Oryzias latipes: one gene and its partner. The protein of the gene in region 2 interacts with the protein of the main gene of each other region in a pairwise test. Links are inferred from orthologs where the notes say so. Each region holds a gene or a part of one and is shown on either strand. Other genes may lie near its edges.

Region 1 (4,102 bases), on a different chromosome or scaffold from region 2:
AACTCTTTTTACACCATTGTTCTTTTGGTTCAACATCTCTAAAGGATCTAAATTCAGCTTCTTAGAGATGCACGGTCTGATTGTAATTTAAATTTCCAGGTATACACTAAAAGATCATTTTAGAGAAACCTACCGAAAATTAAATGAATCCTAATCAAAGTACCATCAATTTGCAGTCCTTTCTGCAAGTATTACCATACTTTTTGAAATCCTTGCAGTAGTTTACATTTCTAATCTTTTGGGGCACTGCATTTAGTGAAATGCCATACTTATAGCAGCTCTCCCAGAAAGTTTTTTTTTCTTATTTAAAATGCAAAATAGTTTAGTAATTATATTGTAAATTACCTAAATTATTTTTGAAGCAAAAAACTAGTGTCTCACTCATTTGTTTTTATTGTGAATTAGTCCTGAAATGTTAATCCATATTGTCTTTTGAAAGACGCATAATTTCAGACGTTTACAAACGTTACATCCATGTGAGACACAGTAAACTACTGACCTTACTATTATATTCTTTCAAAAAGGAAAAACTTTAAATTATATTTAAAATAAAGAAAAATCCCCATTACACTTCTCTTTTATCGAGTACTCCCTCAACTGTAACATTTCGTTTTTTTTTAACCTTTTTTACATTAAAACTAATAAACAGAACACATTTCTTTTTAAATGTATTAAACCAAGTTTTAGTAATATTGCTTTTTATCATCATTTTATTTGTATCCAGAATCCAAATATAAACATATGAACATTTCTCAGAAATAGAAACATTTTCTAAGCAGAAGATGCAACGATCAAATACTATTCAGCCGAATTCCTCCCCACCAAACCTGTGCAGCTCTGGTGCCATCTAGTCGAGAGAGTTTAGAAAAGTTTATTGAGGAAAACAACTAAACAACAACATTCCCTTTCTATTTTTTCTTTTTCTTCTTCTTAGGAGGTTCTTGATCTGAATCGCTGCTGCTCCCCGAGTCCGAGCTGTCCGAGGATGAAGAGGAAGAGGATGTTGTGGATGAAGACGAGGAGCTGTCGCTGTCGCTGCTGCTGTCGCTGTCATCAGAGGAAGAGCTGGAGTCGCTGCTGTCAGATGAGGAGTCGCTGGAGGAGTTTCCTGAGGCCCCGCTGCCGTCGTCGGCGTCTTTTGCTCTGGGAGTCAGAGGGGCAGCACAAAGCAAAGACATAAGTGAACAGAAGCGTGTGCAGCTTCACGCGTCATGCTGTGCTTTCCGTGTTTCTGCCGTGGAATCAGGCAGCAAACAAACAAAAATGTTCAGGAAGACACGGCCAGTCTGTTCTGGTTACCATCAAGCTCAATGTCAGCTATTATGTCACAGACTGTCCAGTATCCTATGAAGAATAAAGTCACTAAACGAATCTTTTTTAAGATGACTTGAGCTGCACAACGGCCATGCCAAGCAGATTCAGGTCATTTTTGGACGCAAGCATTTGTGCGACTATGTTCCATTTACACTGACTTTGGTGTTATGCTGTTAAATATGTTAAAAGAACAGACAGAACTATTTTATACATGATCAAAACAAAACCTTATCTGTCAAAGAATGAATAAAAAATTAATACATTTAAAGATATAATAAATTCTAAAAAGTCTAAACATTGACATGCTCTCTACTCCCTGGAAGTTAGAAGAAAACTAGATAAGAAAAAAAATCACTTTCAATTAGTTAACTTGATGAAGACCATATGTAGTTGCGTTTTTTAAATTTTTTTTTTTTTTTTTACAAACAGCATTCGGATTTCAAGAAAGACTTAAATTTTGTTTCCCAACTATAAGAGCTGGAAACCTGTAGTAGCTAGAATAATCCACTAGAGGGAGCCAACACCCAGAATAACTTTGACAACTAATATTAATGAAATTATAGTGGTGTGTTGATACTAAAATGATAATATTCATCTGTTGTCTCCTCTTGTCTGTTCATTTGAAAGTGAAGCAAATTAAAATCATTTATTTTATGAACACTGTTCTGACATGAAACACATAAATATATACCACACTCCTGTCACCTGGAAAAATCTACTTCACAATGCTGGCAGTAATTCTGTGAAAGTTTTTACCTCTGATCTTTACACAAAGAATTCCCTCCATTCTGCTTCTCCTGATGTTGTTGGAAATCTCCTCCTATCTTCTACATTATTCTTAAAACATCTTTTAAATTTAGTTCAAGTCAGGGTCTTACTAGGAACAAATATTTCACATGAAAACTAAACATGAAGGATGTCCACATAAATGCGCTTCACTCATAATGTTAAGTGAATTTTACTGCAGATGTGATTTTTTTTAACCTTATGCTTGAAGAACTGGCAGGTTAGAACATGTAGTTATTTAGAAAACTGCCTTAAAAAACAAAGTTTAATTAACATCTGGCAATTCCTACTTACTTCTTTTTGAGTTTCTTCTCGTGTGAACCTTCCCTTCCTGGTCTGTGAACAGAAAGGAGTTTCATTTAAACCTGAAACAAAAATGAAATGGGGAAGTTCTCCGTTTTTGGTTGCCCCCTTTAGGGGTCACCACATCATCTGCAGGGCTGCTCAATCCTGGTCCCAGAGATCTACCACTCTGCCTGTTGTCCAGACCTCCTAGCTGCTGATTAGCTCAATCAGACGTCTCCACATTCAGACGAATGAACACACCTGGTCCAGGTGATCCGCAGCAAAAGGAAAATAGGCAGGGTGGTAGATCCCCGAGGACCAGGCCTGGTCCAACCCTCTCCTCTGTATTTTCCTCGCTTACATGAGGACTGCCATCATGCCTTCCTTAACTCCATCCATGAACCTTTTGATCTTTCCTAGTAGCTCCGACCTCAGCATCAATTTACCAACATATTCACTGTCCCGCCTTTCAATGTGTCCAACCATCTCAATCTCTTTCCCTGCATTGATCCCCAAATCATCTAACTTCAGCCGTTCCTCTAATACAGGGGTGTCAAACTTATTTTGGGCCACGTCAGCATAGTGGTTGTCCTCAAAGGGCCAGATATAACTCACACATGTAACTAAATGTAATGACAAATGAATGCAACTACTCCTTAATGTTAAATAACTCATTTATTTATTATAACATTTTAAAGTGACAATTACAGTTGCAAAGAAAACATATGTTTGTTTGTTACTCTAGCATAAATCTGTTAAAATATTGTCTGCTTGTTAAAACCCACATAACTCCATTAATGAAGGATCAAACTGTCCAAGTGAGTAAAAATACAATAACATAAAACTGAGCTAGAAATAACTTTTTTGACACAAGCAACATTTTACAAAAACAAAGGCTGCACACAGCCTTGCATCCAACTGATTGTTTGATGACAACAATTTGTCTGCATACAGACCTGCAAACATTAAACTGCGCGGGGGATAGTGGGTATTCCAGCAGACCCAACGTATTGCACGGGGGATTGTGGGATGCGGTCCACTGGTCAGAATAGGGTTGAGAATGGGTGTTTCTTGTTGCCTACGTTTCTTTCCATCCATCAGTTTTGTTGTTCCACCCTTAGTTAATTCTTCCTGTTATGTTTGCTTCTTTTGTTGCACCGTGATTGTGGGGAGAGGAAAGGGGGATGACTCGTGTGCGATGTTCAACGTTCTGCGCGTTCAAATTAATTGGGCTCAATGCTGGAAAGCGGATTGCGCAATCAGCTTCTCGTTGGGAGTCATGCGGCATGCAGGGCAGACAAGTGTCCAGCGCAGTCAGTCAGTCAGTCAGTTGATGGACTGCTCCGCTCTCACTTTCCCGCTCCGAATGACGACCCAGCTGAATCGTTTCATTATTATAAAGGGGCTAATAGCTCAATAGAGATGGGTTTGTCTTTGAGATCCGATAGTGTAGATTGGAGCTCAACACTTATTTCCAAAAAATAAATAATTATACGCCTTTTTTTATTTTAAGAAATGAAAAAGTGGTATGCTCTCGCGGGCCACATAAAATGACACGGCGGGCCACATTTTGCCCGCGGGCCTTGAGTTTGACACATGTGCTCTACTATCACTTCATTCCTGATGCAATCCATCCTCCTCCCTCCAAAGAGAACCTCAACATCTTCATCTTTGCTCTTCTTGTCAGAGTCTCTCAACCAGGGGTGTCAGAATCCAC
Region 2 (4,415 bases):
GGGTAGGCCCGTAGTTTGCAGATTTGCTAACTAAAATTGACACAACTGCTCCCAAAAAGCAGCTAAAACAAATCAAACAACAACGAAATTAGTCTAATAACAAACGACGGAGTTTACGACGTGTGTGGCAAACAAACACTGAAATATTTTACACTGATGACACGGCAGCTAGCGTGAAAGCTAATAGCCGGGCTAGCAGGCTAAGACTACTTTGTAGTATGTTGTCGTGACAGCTGTCAGGCGCACAAAACACTCTGATGCAAAAACTCTTGTATTAGCAACGGTTACAAGAGGCATCCCGTGCAAAACATTGTCTCGAAATAAACACAACAACTTTCCTATTCGAATTACTATGATTCACTTACTTACAGATATCCGTTAGAGGAGGTAGCCACAACAAACAACAAATGCTGATTAACCTTTTTTGCATTAAGCTCCGTGTTGGCTAAGTTTTGAAGTCTCCGCTTTTGGATCGCGGGTGAATCAAGTTAGCTAGTTAGCAAGGCGACTAGCCAGTGAATGTTTTGAAAATGGTTGGTACTTTCAACAATTAAGCGAGACTTTAACCATTACATAATCTAATTCACGAATTAGCGATGTTAACCAGCTATCAAGATTTACGCAACGTCTGACCGTCAGGTTTAAAAACAAAGAGCAGTAGCGCTTCATTTCACTGCGCTTGAGTTCCTGGGTAACCGCTACGAGCTATGCTAGTTAGCAAAGCTAAAGGACTGAAATTTACTTGGTTCTGGAGAGTCCCAGCAAAACCGAGGGATGTCCCGCTCCCCGTCCACAACGATCCGGCCGTTGCTTTTAGTCTCCGTTCTGCTGAACCGTGTGGAATTCACATTCAATTCAACAACCATAACGACCTATGTGATCCCAAATTCACATTTGCTCCTTGTGTTTTTTTTCTTTCCCTTTTTCTTACAAATTCCAAGCAAAAGAAAAAAGAAAAAAAAATAATAATGGAGTTTTCTTTTGGGCATGCGCACTCAGCGCGTCAGGAATATTGTACCCAAAATGCAACGGGACCTTTGTAACGCTTGTCTAGCGCAGGTTGGAGCGTCCTGACAGAGGACACTGCATATATATCTATATATCCATTTATATCTATATCTATATAGATATATATGCATCTACATATCTATATATCTAGATATATAGAGATATAGATATGTAGAGAGATTTTAAACTTTAAAACCAAGTCCAGATGACATCCCCTAAACCTACTACAATGGAACCAACCTGGATGAATGAGAGTCTTCATAGACATACATATAGAGATATGTATATAGATAGATATAGATATAAAGATCTATATCTATCTATATACATAGATAGATAGATAGATAGATAGATAGATAGATAGATAGATAGATAGATAGATAGATAGATAGATAGATAGGGGGGAGTGTGTGTATCCCCTTTTCCTCCCGACTCAGGCTTAGTGAGAGATACTCAGCTGTTGCAAACTGTCAAGTTCACTCAGTAATGCCAAGCCTGCCATGCACAAAAATACACACACTTGGGCATCCATAAATAGTTAGATCTTTCCAGTCCCTTTACACTATTTTGTATATTGGCATATGTAAATATATATTACTTTAGTGAGGTTACATTCAAAGTGTAAAATCCTCTGAAGCGAATATCAAGAAACCACAAATAGGGGACCAAAGGCCAAAAGGCCTGAACTGACAGGACATTTTGGGCGGCTGCTTTGTTGGAGTCAGTAGCACAGATCGTACGCCACACCAGTCATCGTCTTTTGCTCAAGACCCACCATAGAGTTTTGACAATATACTGGATTTGTAACTTCCTCCGTGGTCTTTCACTTAAGGTAGGCTACCATTGCATATATAAACAATGCCTGTTAATAACCATTTCTGTTTCTGTTCTGTAAGTAGATTAAATTTGTTAAGTGAATTGTTCACCACTCTTAAAATCTGTGTGGTTTATTTAAAACAATTTTGTTCAAGATGATAGCTTGGATTTCGTTACGTTTTTTTTCCTGACTAGAAAAAAATCCAAAATTTAGCAATTATGAGATTTCAAAACCCAAAAAGAGTTTGGGTAAAGCTGTAGGTGACAATTTGCAAAATCCAAGTTACACTGTCAAACACAAAATAATGAAGCATATTTGTTTTGTTTTGTTTTTTTACAAAAAATTTCTTTCTGTATTTGATATTTCAACTTTTGCTGTGTGAAATTGTAGGTTGGTTAATATAAACATGCGAAAGTAAATCTGTGGCTAAATACATTTTACATTGGCATTTGTCTATTTTTAAACACTGGCAGTCATAAAATCCTAAACATAGAAACGTAAGGGAGTGATTATATGAACTCTCACAATTAAAAAAGAAAAGAGGTCCTTTCAGATGTACATAAAATATAATATTTTATAAACCAAAGTTTTTATTTTATTGAAATCATTTAGAAATTCTAAATTTTAAGTCAATCAACCCCATGTCAAACGTTGTTCCATTATTTCTAGGTTGGAAAGTGTTGACTTTGTCTGCATTGCATCATGGATCAGTGAGTACAGATCCACTCATCATTTGTTCCGTCAGTGTCAAAATGTTATAAGCTTGTTAGTTATCAATTAACTTAAAACTCAACTTGATAAGTGATACTATTAGAGATCTTTTTTGCAATGAGGTCAAAGTCTACCTATTAATTTCTATAAAATAATTAACTGAAGTTATTTTATAAAATTGTATCGTTTAAGACGAGTGTCTTTTGTAACTTGGAGTAGATTTTTCTTCTGATTACATGGTTTCCATGATGCTTGTTTTTTTTTCCCTAGTCTGTCATGGTAAAATAAGTTCAGTAAGTTCTCCTTTAGTGTCATTGCTGAATAAACATGCACCAGTAGTAAACCTTTGAGTTTTATTTATTAATTCCAAAATTGTGTTTTTTTCCCAATCCGTGGCTTCGGCAGCTTATAGTTTTTTCCACGTTTATTTATCTCAGGGAGGATGACAAAAACTCTGTGGATATTCATGACAATCCTCCAGTCCCTGACAATGTAGTGAGGGAGGAGGGAGACACAGTGAGTGACAGCACCATGCCAACCACCCACCATTAGGGCCATTCCCAGGATGTTTAAAATAGCCACCAGTTGGAACAAGGCTGCAGTCCACTGTCAATTCTGAAAATATGACCTCAGATTTAGATTTCCCTGAAGATAGTTTTATACATGTAGTCTAGACAGTTTGTTTCATTGCCAAAACTCTGACTCATACAAATCGAGATTCTTTATGAACACCACCCTTAACATGTTTCACATTTTCTGCCTAAGCTGTTTCTGCTATTTCTCAAGGTCTACTTCATATATGAAGAGGAAGTTGAAGTGGAGGAAAAGGAACCAGAACCTCCCCCGGAACCCATTCTTCGGATCAATGACAAACCCCACAAATTCAAGGATCACTACTGCAAGAAACCTAAGTTCTGCGATGTCTGTGCTCGCATGATAGTCTGTATGTGCTCACCAGGATACGCAAATACACAACCAGTCCTGTTAAATTTCCCAAAGAAATGTGTTTAGATTGACTTTTCATAGTGATGCTATTTTCTACATCAAAATGATGTGTGACTTTTACTGTTTTTCATTTGCACATCTTGCAGTGAACAACAAGTTTTGTCTGAGGTGTAAAAACTGCAAAACCAATATCCACCATTCATGCCAATCCTATGTCGAGTTCCAGAAGTGTTTTGGCAAAATTGTGAGTTTTATTCATCATAAAAAATGTTATATTTTACACTGATATCAAAGAATATGCAGTCAAATAGATAGACAGTCAATAAAATCTGTGCAAACTCAGATTATTGTGTTTTATAATTCAAAGGCTATAAACTCTTATGAATATTTTATTTTTTATTTTTGTGTTTCTAGCCACCTGGATTTAGAAGAGCTTACAGCTCCCCTTTGTATGGCAGTGACCAACCCGATCCAAGTGAGTCCAGAAAAGTTAGCTCAAAATAGACATGATTATCATAATCACTATTTTGAAAAAAAGAAAGTTACTTGTGTTGGAAAATTGCTGTAGCTGATTCAACAATATAATTGAAATAAAGAAAAATTACACCAGTTTGTACAGAAAATCTCCTTTTGGCTTAGCATAAAAATTAGATTACATCTTCAAAGGTGACATCTAACCTGGACTGTAGGCTTCTGCATTACTAGTCTTTTTAAATATTACTATCAAGCAGTCAAAATTAAATAGATAAATTATTGATTCAGCTCAATAATTTTGCATTCCACCAGATAATCCAAACCGGAATGACCCCGTCTTTGACACCCTGAGAGTGGGCGTCATAATGGCAAACAAGGAGCGCAAAAAGAATGAAAACGACAAAAAAAATGTGAGTGAAGTCTTCCTGTCTCAAACCTAAATTTAGAGTATCAACAAATG

The links.
Region 1: the proteins of stac3 (region 2) and zcchc10 interact in binary tests that used the Homo sapiens proteins (3 or more experiments, as listed by UniProt). The two-hybrid records come from large-scale screens. The link is inferred for Oryzias latipes from reciprocal best matches to the Homo sapiens genes STAC3 and ZCCHC10.

The regions. Positions count from the first base shown.
Region 1 is NC_019872.2:6,662,167-6,666,268, forward strand, and holds the end of zcchc10 (zinc finger CCHC domain-containing protein 10), read right to left. Parts: intron 2,437-4,102; coding exon 2,395-2,436; intron 1,144-2,394; coding exon 909-1,143; 3' UTR 693-908; downstream 1-692.
Region 2 is NC_019865.2:7,551,678-7,556,092, reverse strand, and holds the start of stac3 (SH3 and cysteine-rich domain-containing protein 3), read left to right. Parts: upstream 1-1,532; 5' UTR 1,533-1,840; intron 1,841-2,494; 5' UTR 2,495-2,527; coding exon 2,528-2,535; intron 2,536-2,973; coding exon 2,974-3,052; intron 3,053-3,322; coding exon 3,323-3,479; intron 3,480-3,627; coding exon 3,628-3,725; intron 3,726-3,895; coding exon 3,896-3,956; intron 3,957-4,267; coding exon 4,268-4,365; intron 4,366-4,415. UniProt on the Homo sapiens protein: Required for normal excitation-contraction coupling in skeletal muscle and for normal muscle contraction in response to membrane depolarization. Required for normal Ca(2+) release from the sarcplasmic reticulum, which ultimately leads to muscle contraction.